Drosophila melanogaster: one gene and its partner. The gene in region 2 interacts genetically with the main gene of each other region. Each region holds a gene or a part of one and is shown on either strand. Other genes may lie near its edges.

Evidence for each region.
Region 1: of CanB2 (region 2) and fliI, changing one suppresses a phenotype caused by changing the other (phenotypic suppression), as found in Drosophila melanogaster (one study listed by BioGRID).

The regions. Positions count from the first base shown.
Region 1 is NC_004354.4:21,337,988-21,345,639, reverse strand, and holds fliI (flightless I), read right to left. Parts: upstream 5,900-7,652; 5' UTR 5,747-5,899; coding exon 5,693-5,746; intron 5,530-5,692; coding exon 2,375-5,529; intron 2,140-2,374; coding exon 1,989-2,139; intron 1,866-1,988; coding exon 1,455-1,865; 3' UTR 552-1,454; downstream 1-551. Other genes in the region: dod (dodo), read right to left, coding at 1-20, 132-189. UniProt on the Drosophila melanogaster protein: May play a key role in embryonic cellularization by interacting with both the cytoskeleton and other cellular components. Alternatively, it may play a structural role in indirect flight muscle. Vital for embryonic development.
Region 2 is NT_033778.4:7,784,408-7,789,717, reverse strand, and holds CanB2 (calcineurin B2), read right to left. Parts: upstream 3,709-5,310; 5' UTR 3,453-3,708; coding exon 3,450-3,452; intron 3,397-3,449; exon of another isoform or gene 3,275-3,396; intron 3,219-3,274; coding exon 3,179-3,218; intron 2,485-3,178; coding exon 2,186-2,484; intron 2,128-2,185; coding exon 1,957-2,127; 3' UTR 665-1,956; downstream 1-664. Other genes in the region: CG12825 (uncharacterized protein), read right to left, coding at 6-141, 218-297, 360-462. UniProt on the Drosophila melanogaster protein: Calcineurin is a calcium-binding and calmodulin-binding protein found in all cells from yeast to mammals, and a calcium-dependent, calmodulin-stimulated protein phosphatase.

The DNA of each region.
Region 1 (7,652 bases), on a different chromosome or scaffold from region 2:
ATTGAGATAATAGCTCATTCCTGCAAAATCAATCATGATCAATCAAGTGCAGGTTCAGTTTAGCGTGCCGGTTCCGCATTCCGCCGGAAAACCGCCGGCATGGCACGAGCGGGACTGCACACGATGCTTACCTGTGGAGCGGCTAGTGCGCTTCTCCCAGCCGTCCGGTAGTTGCTCGGCATCTGGCATGCTGTTTTCACTTAATTTGAGTTAAATTACAAATAGTTTTCGGAATAAAATAAACCACCAGTGTGACCGCGCCGAACACGCTTTGAGAACATCCATCAAAATCGATAGCGCCTGCCATCGACATATCGATACACATGGTGGCGAATTCGCCAAATAAGGTGCTGGCACGTGCTAACTGCGGTGGGTGCACTCGCTAACCGCAGATACAGCTGAGGCCAATATAATAGCAGCGAACTAACAATAATGTGCTGATATGTGCTATTCTGATATGTTATATGTATCTTTTGCCGAAAAATTAGCACATAACTTAATTAAATCTATTCCAATACCTCCTTCAATCCGCGACACGAATAGAGGAATTTCAATTTTTCTAATGTTTATTCAGGGGATTAATAAAAATAAAATAAATACGTGGGCATTTGTACAATTAGTTTTAGTGCTTCCTTGACTTTATTACAGGCTAGCTTTAAGTAGGTTAACATTTTAAAAGGACTAGCACAGGGGAGTAATCCTCTCAGCTCAGCGTATGTATATATATATATATATATATATATTGCGTATTTGTAGGCATATGTGATATACATACATATGTATGTATATTTGCATTCAATATACTCATGTGGTTTTCTCGCAGGGAGTGGGCGAATACTTGGCGTTCTTGGAGTTAGCTAATTATTTAGTTAGGGGCGGGAGCAAGTGAGCTAATAAAAAAATTTAAATTAATTATACAAAACAATTAAATACATTTTATAAAAGTACAAACACACGATCTTCACTCACGACCTGAAGGAAGGGCTTGGCTTGGCCCTTTCATTCTTTTTCCCTCGATACAATTTTGCTTTGTCATGTCTTCTGGGGCAGCTACTCTGTCACGGCAGCTGCCCAGCGCATCTTCCCAGCGAACAACATTCGCATCCGGCTAACAGAGGTCTAACTTAATGCTTAATGACCAATTTACAACTCGATGGGGCTCCTCTAACGGGCTAAGATTAGTGGGTAACACCTCTAAGGTGCCTCTATTCATTTCATAAAACTAAACTCACATTGCAGGCGTGCTCTTCGACTTCTGGTTAATAAATGCACTTCCCGAGGCCGATTCACTAGCTCTGACAGGGACTCGAAGGCGCCAATCGAGACAAGCAAGACAAAAACTAGCGCCTTTTAGGCGCTTTCCTTGCGGAGACCTAAATGGCCACATAGCGGCGGTGCATGAATTAGGGAAATTTAAAAGAACTACTCGACGATGCTCCTTCAGTTGGCTAAAATTATAAATACACCTTGAAGGCGCTCCAGCCGTGGAAGCACTTGGTGAAACGGCGCGACTCCTTGTTCTTCATCGTGAGGAAGAGCTTCCTCGGCCGCTCCGGCTGCTTGATCCGCATGTGCTGGATGTAGACCTGGGCGGACTTGTAGGCCAGCTTCACCTCCACCTCGCTGCAACGCGGTCCCATCCACAGGAAGACGTGCTCGCCGTTGTCCAGGATCATGATATCGTCGTCGGCCAGATCGTCCTGGCAAAAGTCGGCGCACTTCTCGGCCACCGTGTAGTAGCCGCGCTCGTTGGAGCACCGGAACAGCCGCGTGTAGTTCATGTACTCGGCGTCCGTATCGTAAGGCTTGCGGCCGCCCAGCGCCACCCAGAAGAAGTTCTCCGGCTCGTCGCCCTCGTTGAGAATCTGCAAAGGATGGATGAAAAGAAACGATTAACAAGAGCGTGTACCTTAATATAAACATATGTACAATATATTCCACAAAACAGCCCACTACATGGTTGAACCACATTAACACATGGAACCCACCTGTAAGCTCACCCACGGCGAGTTGAACATCTGCTCGGCAATATCCTGCACCAGTTTGGCCTCTTCGTTGCAGGCCTTGCTGCCTATCCACACGTACACAATCCCCGACTGCGAATCGTCCTCCGTTTCAAATGGCACATGGAGTATGTAGCTGAAATAATGCGTATGGAATATAAATATTGGAGCGACTACTACTATGTTCGCTATCTTTTGGATATATATAAATAATACTGTGTCATATCACGTAGGCTTCCAGGAATTTCAGTTTCAACCAACGATAAGACAAGAATGTTGATCCAATAAAATCGCACTTGTCATACATCTCAAAAAAAAAAACTGGGTGATTATTACCACCCACAGTAATAAATTATTGGTAATTTGCTCACCAGAAGGTTGAGTTGAGATGCACTGCATCCGGATTAATTTGGATAAGGCGAGTGGTGAGCGCACCGCCGTTCGATCGCAGGTGAAAGAACTCAACTGGCGACTTGCCCTTCGCGGTGTGCGCCTTGTCCTTCCGCTTGCCGGTGTGGATGATGAACTTCCGCTTGAAGTGGGACATGAACTTGAGGTTCTCCTGCTGCTGGAAGATCCGCACCACCTCCAGCTCCTCGCCGAACATCGCCTTGAACTTCTTCTGCAGTGTAAAGGTAAACGTGAGCCATCCCATATTGCCGGCATTGCGTCCCTGCCAAAAGTAAACGACGCACTGGATCTCGTCCTCTGGCTGATTGTTGGCGCTGGATTTACTGACGTCTGCGGCTGGGTTAGCACCATCTTCGGAGCCATTCTCGGGCTCCTCGATGGGAATGCAATAGCGGCAGAGGAACACATAGCATTCGCCGGTGTAAAAGCGACCCAATTCCTCCTCGGGCAGCCGGACGAACTTCTTGTTCTCCAGTACAAAGGCCTCCATCATCTCCAGATCGTAGTTCCACTCCTCCTCCAACTGTTCCGCCTCCGCCAATGGCATGGCCGACTGTCGGGGCATAAATAGCGCGGCAAGATCCGTGCGCGTCTCCTGCTGCCGAGCCCACTGTGTGAGATTAGCCCCTGTCTTGGCCACCGACTTCGCCGTTCTCGTGAAGTCCACGGCCATTACCTCATCCCAGCCAGCGAACTTGGTTCGGAAGATCTGCATTTCATTGCCCTCGGGTACACGCATCACCAGCGCATAATCCGGACGATCCATCATGTTAAAGAGCTCCCGACTCAACTTGACAGCGGCCGCTCGGACCAAACGCGTCGACTTCTTGCCAAACCAAACGAACAGATCGGTGTAACAGTCGAGTATGTAGACGTGCTTGCTATTTAGCAAGGTATGGCAAAGTTTTTGCTCAGGTAACTCCACTTGCGGCAACTCCAGATAACCCATGCCAAGTTGCACCTGGTAGAGGCGAGGCTGCACCGGCTGATAGTCCTCTGGAACGTGCTCCTTTGGTGGCTCTGCGGCGTCTGCCTCCTCCGAGGTCATGCCCAGTCCTTGCCAGAATTCGGCACTCTCCTCGCCCTGCCGCTCCAACTGGATTTCACATTTGTTCTTGCGCTCCGTTTTGCTGATCTTTTCCGCCATTAACCTGGCCTTGGAGTTCAGCGTGTTCTTCGATCTTTCGCCCATCCAAATGTAAATATGGGTGCCCAGATCCAAGACAAAGGCGTGGCGGGGATCCAGGGAGGTAATGGCAGGAGCCACTGGCTCCAGATGAATGGTAGCGCCATAGGCGTGCACTAAATACAATCTGGTGATGTGTATCATCTCTTCTATGGTATAGAAACCAGTAGCTGTGCGTCCGCCCTCGATGTAGATGACTTCCGTCTCGAAGAGGGACAGAAACTGCTCGGATTCATCGCCCTGCTCCTCGCGAACCGTTCGACATCGGGCGCCCAGAAAGTTTCTTAGGTTCACTGCATGAATGGCAGCGCAAGCTCGTTTGTCCAGCGTGGCTTCGTTGCCTATCCAAAAGAATATTTCCCAATCGAGCAGGCCCAGGTCATCGAACTTGGTCTTGAGGACTATGTAGCAGTCGCCCTCGTAGAATTTGCCATGCACCACCTCCTCAATTTTGTTGGGCAGGAAGTTCTCGATTTCCCAAATGGTCAAGCCCGGCAGCTGGCCATCGTCCTTCTCAAAGAACTTGGAGTAGTCCAGTTGCGGTTTTTCCAGTGACTCGTCCCATCTCTTAGGTTTGAGCGACTCTGGCTTTCCGTCCTCGGGCACAGCACCCGCCTCGTTATCCTTATCCTTTGCCACATCCTTCATGCCCTTGAGCACCTTGGCAGCATCCTGATCGCCTTCACTGCGAGGACCGCGTCGTAAACGTATTTTCCTCGCCGTTGAATCCTTGGGCGTTGCTGACGATGGCATGGAAGGCGGCACAGCAGCCCCAGCTAACCGAAGCTGAGTCTGCAGACTAAAATCTATGTTGTAGAACTCAAGACTGGTGGCTTTACTCGCTTCGCTTGGCTTGGGCGGCATCACTAGCTCCGGATTGTTGCGCAAGTCCAACTGGTCTAGGCCCTCCAGCAGGTGAATGGCATCGGGCAGGGTTATAAGCCGATTGCAGCTCAAGTTGAGCTGCTTCAAAGCACCGCATCGGCAGAGTCCCTCTGGCACCATTTCCAGCAGGTTGTTGGCTGCCGAAAACACCTCCAGAGCTCCGAGTTTGCCGATGCCCGAGGGGATGCCCTCGAAGTTTAGCTTATTGTCGTTCACCAGCAATCGTCGCAGCTTTGGTAGTTTGCAGAGGGCAGCCGGCAGCGCAACCAATTGATTCCGCGACAGATTCAGCGACTCCAGACGCTGCCAAAGCTCTACACCGGCAGTCAGTTCGGTTAGCTCGTTGTCGCTCAGATTCAGTCGCACCAAAGTGACCACATTGTAGACGCAGTCTGGCAGCTTGGGCAGCGAATTGTGCGACAGGTCCAGTTCGCAGAGATTGGCCAAACTGTCTATGCTAGTGGGAAAATTGAGGAGCGTGCGCTGCGTGCCGCTCATCTTCAGGACCTCCAAGCTCTGCAGCGAGGGCAATTGCCGCAGTTGAAACAGCTCCAGCGGATTGTGCGATAGGTCCAGGGTTTTCAGATTAATCAGACGTCGCGTCTGCGGCGGCAGTGTCTCCAGTCTATTGTGCGACAGATCCAGGAACAGCAGATCCGTTAGATGGATGAACAGCGGCGTGGGTATGCTCTCGATCTGATTGTTGCTCAGGTTGAGGACTATCAGGTTCTTGGCCCGCTCCAAACCCTCGGGCACCTCCTTCAGTTTGTTGTGCGACAGGTCCAGCGTGGTCAGCTCCTCCAGGTGAAACAGCTCCGGCGGTATGCCGCTGTTCTTCAGCTGATTGTGCCGCAGGTCGAGGGATCGCAGGCAGGACAGCTCTGTCAGCTCGCCAAAGATCTTCTCCAGTCGGTTGTGGTTCAGCGACAGGTGCTCCAGCTTCTGTAGGTGGCCTAGCTCCTCGGGAATCTCCGCCAGCTGCGTGCGATCCAGTGTGAGCCACTGCACCCGCGACATCTGCCGCATGGAGCTGGGGAATGTTGCCTGCAATGGAATCAATCATATTTCGGGATTATCTCTGCTCCGCACTTATGACTAATGCTCAGGTGCTTCTCGGTGACCTGTTTCTTAGCTTCTTTTTTTTTTAGAACCTGAACCACTCCGAAAAAACAACAAGGCTGCAACTGTTTTTGCTGGTTGTACTCACGCTGAAATCATTTTTCGTAAAGTCCACACCGCGCACAAACGGCAGCACGCTCATTTTGACCACATAAAATGTTATATTTGTTTTATATTTGGGCTCAAGCTGCTGGCCCTGTTTTTCGTTTCTTCTTCTTTATTTTGTTTTTTTTTTGCACTAAAAAAAAGAAGACTAAGTGGTGACCGTTCACCGCTCACCCGAGCAAACGGCATGGTCGCACCTTCGTATGCAGTTGCCGGAACTGGCCACACTGCGCATTTTACGAGGGTTAGGCAACACTAAAGTGTTGGAAATCACAGAAGGCACACTCGCGTTGCACTTCGTAGGTTTGGTGCAGCTGATTTATCATATAGAAGGGGAGCTTTGTGGGCTTAAAAAATTTGGTTCATATACGGCAATAATTACATTTGTGACCAAAATAGAGTTTCTCGCCTTTAAATATTAATTTTGCATGGCTTTTAACGGTACGTCCACCACTGTATTATACGAGCTTAAGTCGAGTGTGACCGTTAATGTCTAAAAATGGTGTGGCTAATTTAAAAATTATTTTGAATTCCCGGAACCGAGCTAAAAGCGACTTAAGTTTTGGAGTTTTTGATTCTTTTTGAAAACAGAGCCGTTAGTTTCAAATGGTCCTATGGACTTACAAATAATACGTTGAAAACTAACGGAGTAAGTGATTGAAACCAAGGTTTTTGTTTTTGATTTATTTATTATTTATTTAAAGAAATTGAAATACACATATAATTTGTATAAACTAAATTTGATTAACTATACATTTGATGTGTGCCTTAAGACTTAAATATAATAAATTCCTTTTTGCTGATCTGTGAGAGCCGAACGCTTCGGACTATGTTAGTTTGCTCAAAACGGTCACATTGGATGGGGTTCGGGTTTTTCGAAGGGTCCTTTTCGTCCTGCGAAAAAACAGTAACATCGTATCGTGAGCATAATCCAGAGGGTGTGACCAAATTGAACGACACGAAATTTTCATACTTTGCCCAGTCTTCGGAATGTGAAGGTCCTCGCTCGTGTGTTTTGTTGCCTTTGCACCGATATTGCAAAAACATAAAATCAAACCTAGCCTCAAAAACAATACAAACCCGAATGAAATTTAATAGATACGCCAGAAATACGACAACTTGATTGAATTAATGCCAACTGAAAATAGTGCAGCAAAAAGTAATAATTTCGAATTTTTTGCCGATACACTCGGCACTAGGCTTTGTTTGTTGTGGAAAATTGTGTACCCCCGAAAAAGGGAGTGTTTTCATTTGGCGTCGTTCGTCACTTGCTCGAACGCCAAATTGTTGGCGAATTTCATTTATTCCGTTATTGTGTGGATGTATGCGTGCGTGTGTTATTGTTGCATTTGCCGTTGTACAAACGCAAACGCACTTTGCAGTTGGTGTGTGCGCGTCTGCGGGGCTGGGTGGCGGCGACGGAAGCGATGTGGGCGGGGCGGCGGAAAGTGGGCGCAGCAATTACGAGAGAACTGCCAAAAGGAATAAGGATAAGAAGAGGATGGGGATGGTGATGGAGAAGGGGAAGCAGTGGCCAGAGCAGAGCGAACTTTTAATCAATAGATATACAAACGCACGCGCAGCCGCGTGACCGTTACTCGCACACTCGCTTTCGCCTCTTTGCCATGACTCTCCGTTGCTGCTGCTGCTGGGGGTGTTGGTGTTGTTGCTGCACTGGACGAAGCAGGAAGAGGAAGACAAGTGAACAAAATTGCTATTGCGCTGGGCAGCATCGTTCGTCCTCAATCCGAAATCAAGTAAAATAAATTTGGGAAAAAGCATTGGAAAATAAAAAAATCCGCGTTCGCGCAGTTCATTTAATTCACTTAACGGAATAAGTACATACAGATGTAGCTCAAATACATCAACCGGCTGGCCCGCGGCTTTGTTTTTAATTTAAAAGTGCCCGAAAGTGTGGGGCAACCTACTTATTGAGCAATTAA
Region 2 (5,310 bases):
CTCACCTGTGAACGGAACGACCATCAATGGTCCGAAGATCCAAGCTGTGCCCTGGACTATCAGTGAAATGAACAGGTTCACCATCAGGTATAAAAAGAATCCTGTGGTTATCATCCACGGCACGAAGAACTTGTGCTTTTGCTGTATGCAGCAAAGAGCAGAGCAAAGAGATAAGAGATAAGAGTGTTGTGGACTGTGCACAGTGTGCCTAACTAACCTTTATGGCTCCAACGATGAGGACCACGCTTCCCAAGATCTGCAGCGCCGAAATGTGTATTCCCATCTCGTAGAGTCCATCTGAAACGAAATAGCTCTATGCATCGCAAAGATATCCAAGATTGGTATGTATATGCGCCTACATTTCCAGAAGTAATCGTCCATCAAAACCAGATAGGTTATGGCAAAGGCTATGGACAGGCAGCCCGAGCAGATGATTCCTCCTTTGGTGTCCAGCTTCCACATGTTTCCAAAATCGCAGAGTAACTTGCAGACCGCCGATTATTTCACAACTAAACTGGACGGGAGTATTCATGGTGGTGATGGGTGAGCAGGCTAGCTTTTGCCGCAGACCTTATCTAATCTCATATTGTACTGTAGCTCCTCCACCAGCGCAACAACAATTGAAGAAAACCTTTGTTGGTTAGTGTATAATTATAATTTTATTGAAGGATTCGCTTATTATTGCTTCGACTGGCCAGCTAACTGGGCAATCCATGCGGGCCTATCTATCGATGGGTTCCCAACTTGTGGCTACACCATTTTACAATGAGATACGACCTCGAGTCGATTACTTTGAATAATGCAATGGAATTTAATTGATTAGCTAACGAATTGAGAGTGGCGAGTGTGCAAAAATTTGTTAATTGTAAAATTTGTAACATGCGTTTTACTATTTGGTTTTCTTGCATCTTTAACTAGTATAATTAGGTATAAAAAAATGTTACTGCAATATCACCGCACGGCATTGCTTCATATGTATGTTTTGATGTATAATAACTATTCGATTTTCAGTTAACTCGCGTTATAAACTGCAAAATGTAGCGTATTTTAGAAAACGTTCGAGGCGTTCTACGTTCTGCGTGAGAATCGTTGATTAATTTGAGTTAAGTGGCGTTAGAAATTGGTTAAGATAGACTTAAGAAACTTGGCAAACGTCGCCTTCCTCTGGTGTTATCAAGTTAGTCAAGATATATAAAAATACGTTACGTAGGTTATAACATTCGATTAGTACAAGTAGGTATGTATAAATATATAAAAAGTACACAACGTGTAAATAAGACTAAGTCAATAGAGGAGACCTCCTTCGGGCAGGTTGCTTAGCTGCCCCGCGCATCTGTCCTTTCTCATCATAAGCACTTCATATTTCGATTTGTTGCATTTCGATTGGTTTTGTTGTTTTTTTTTTTTTTTTTTTGTTTTGTTTTTGGCAAAATCACAGGAGAATTAGAAATATAACATCAATATGATAGAGCGAAAGTGCATTCGATAGAGCATTCGTTCAACTTGGGTTGCTTTATTTGCCTTTGCTTGCACGAACTTGGATTCCGCCTTAGTTAAGTTTAGTTTTGCTTCTGGGGTTTTTGAATTCTTTAAATGTATATTTGTATAATAAATTATGACTATATATGCATTTATATATAAGTATATAGATGAATATATTTAAGAAGTAAGTAGGAGGCGCATTATTCCACTTTTCAACTTAGGATAACAACATTGCATTCGCGATTTCTCCCTAAGCCTTCGATCGCTGTACTGACTGACTGGCTGGCTGGCTGACTGACTGACTGACTAACTGAACTGGCTCGCCAAAGGCTCATAACAATATTTAACTATAGAGAATCGCCGATCAAAAATAATAACCATATGAATAGTGGTGATAGTGACAATCGAAGGATGCCGACGTGTATAAAATAAATAAATAACATCGCGTAGAAAAGGATCTGCGTTAAACCTATTTTAGACATCGACTACCATCTTCTTGTGAATGTCCGTGTTGCCGACCACAGAGCAGAACTCATCGAACGAGATCTTGCCATCCTCATCCTTATCCGCGAATCCGATCGTCTTGTCCACAATCTGCTGCAGTTGCGTGTCCTTCAGATTATTGCCTACCATCATCTTTAAAACCTTTTAGAGGGGAAACACTTCAGTGGAATGAGCTTAACGTAATGTTCGCGGGTCTTGCCTGAAACAGTTCGCCATTGGAAATGTAACCATCGTTGTCCATGTCATAGATGCGAAAGGCGAAGCGCAACTTGGACAGCTTGTCGCCCTTGACGCTGAACTGCGACACGCCCTGGATGAACTCCTTGAAGTCCACCTCGCCGTTGCCGTCCGCGTCGAAAATGTCGATCACGCGCTGCACCAGCGGATTCTGTTGCAGCTCCGGCAGCGACATGAACTCGTCCACGCTCAGCGCGCCCGAATTGTCCAGGTCCAGTTTCCGGAAACGTTTGCCCAGCCGCCGGATCTCGTCGGCGTCGACTGCAGAAAGGCGGGAAATATATAGAAATAGAGATTTAGATTCTAGAACGGTGTGAGGATTATGATTACAGTGGAGCTCTTTGAACTCTATACTTAAAAATTCAACATCAAATTTCTATAGCGTTATTAGGATTAATAAAGCTTTTAAATACTATTATTTTCACTTGAAATATTAAGTAAATTTATCTAACATACAAATGTAAATTATTCCTTTTCGCGAATATAAATCACATAATTGAAACTAAAGTTATTTAATTATTACTATTCTGCTAAGTAACTATATAGTATTGAGCATTTAAACAGCCCTTTAGTATGCAGATGTAAAACCAGATTTCGAGATTCTGGTTAAGATTGTTGGCGATTTATATTTAGCATCCGGTTGTCTGTCGATCATCAGATGTGCGACAAGGTGTGACAAATACACATTCTAGAATGGCAATTTTGAAATAGGACGATGGTGCGGAATAAAGAGTTGGGAATTCAAAATGTATTTCTACGCCACGTTTCGTTTGCATTCCACTTTTGTTGGCCATTCGCGTATTTACATGCCTACATATGTGCATACGTACATACGGGCGTACAATCGTACATGCATACCGTATCTAAATGTACGCTTCTAAATGCCCATGTTTGCATATTCATAAACAGCTGCCATTCCGTTCAAATGACATTGAGTGAATTATTTCGTACTTACAATTGGAACACATTTCCATGGGCAGTGATGTTTCATTTCCCTGCAGGCGAAAAAATATATGTTAAATGGGAAGTTTTAATATTTTGCAATGCCAAAAGAGGGAAAGAGAGGTGGGGGGTTGGAACGAAACGCAGAACGGAAGTTGGCTTTATAACGGTATAAGCTCCCACTCCCTATCTGCGCTCTCTACTTCTCACTTTCCCGCTCTCAGCCTCTTCCCCTCTTTCGTTTTTGCACTGGTTCTTCGCTTATTTTGGTGGCATTTTATTACCATTTTGGTTTTGCCTTTTGTGGTTCTCCTTGGATGCTATCTATAGAGTACAAATAAAGTTCGCTCTTTTCGCCGTTCCGCTCTTGGTTTTCCTCTAGTTTCCTTTAAAGTCCTACGCCGCGGGCTATCCTGCACATGCTACTGTGGTTTTTGGGCCGCTGAATTACGGTTTTGTTGTGGAAATATTCGGTTTTCTATTTTCTATTGTGCATGAGTTTTTCCACAGCAGCTTTTGGTGTGACCGCGGTTCGAGCGACAAAAAATACCTTGGTGGCCAAGGAAGAATACCAGAAAGCTTAGCGTTGGCAACGCGTTGACAGGGTTGTCAGCGTTTGTCACATTAATTTAAATTAGCGCGGTTTTTTAAAACAGAACATGTATTTATTTATTTATACTTTTAGTAATTGAACTGCATGACACTTCTTTAGTATGATCCAAAATTTCCATTCATATACTTGGTAATTTTCCTTCATTAGCAATCTTAAGTGTAAGTGCTCACAATTTACAGTTCTTATCTGTTTAAAATGTTTAATTATATCATGTAATCTGGGCTGGCTTAATCTAATGTTTTCTTATCGTGAATTCATTGTTGGCTTAATCTTATGTTTTCTTCTTGTCCATCGAAGATAGATGCATTTGTACGAGTATGTAATAAAGAAAAATAAAAACATATTCTGAATTTTGAATTTGTAATGATATATTTTCCCATTACTTAAGCTTAGTTAACTTAGCTTATTTAACAAGTAAACACGAGGAAACGCAGGTCAATATTTGAAACATTCGTTTGAAATACTACTGATACAAAATAATATCAAAACACTTTTCGAAAGTGTGCGCGTAACAGTTTTGAAAGGTTTGTGAATTATAGAGTGGGCGTGCCAATCTTACATAGCGTAGAATCTATGTACATACCCTCTAGCTTATATAGTTTTTTATTTGTTGATCGGGATGTTTATACGGACAATCGCTTCAAATGGTTACACATGCTTCTCAACGAATCAAGTATCAGGTGTAAAATCTTCATTTTCTGCAGCCCAACTTAGGAAAGTTACCCCAAGACAAATGTTTGTGGCTACGCCGCTGCATTTCGTTGGCTTCCCGCAGCAACATCAAACAACCATAGATACCATTTACTGCCCATCTGACATAATCTCTTGGTTAAACATTTCCCCAGCCAGTTGCCTGGCTTCCATCTCGATTCCATCTTCATTTCGCTGCCAACGAGCCAGCAGAACGGTCATGAGCCCAGGAATCGTTAGCCAGGAGGTAAACGGCCGCCAGGAGCCAACAGAAGCTGCGAGGGACGAGAGACATGGACGACGGCGCCGGGTGGCGGTTATTGGAGCAGGACTTGTGAGTGTAACAAAGTTATTTGAAGTATACAATTATTACTCTGCGAAAGCATAAATAGATTGTGGGTCTATAAATATAGCGAATGAAATTTAGTGTTAATCATTAACAAAATAATATATAGTCTATATTTAGAGTAGACCGTAGTACGGTTATAAACAGGCAATAATTCTAGTTAAGCTTCATAATATCTAAAACTAAGCTTTGCTAATTTGCTAAAATACACATCATAGTAGTAGAATTATAGAATTCGAATTCTTTTCGAATCATTCCTAAGTAATCTTTAAATTATGCTGCATTTTGATGTGTCTTCACATATGTAGTTAGATGCGTTATCTTTAGTGTTTTTAAATCCCTGCTTCCAGATATAAGGCTCTTATCACGCTTTCTACGCATCTTATTCTCCATAACACTAGGTGGGTTCTCTGGCAGCCTTGAACTTTGCCCGCATGGGCAACCACGTGGATTTGTACGAGTACCGGGAGGATATCCGCGAGGCCCTAGTGGTTCA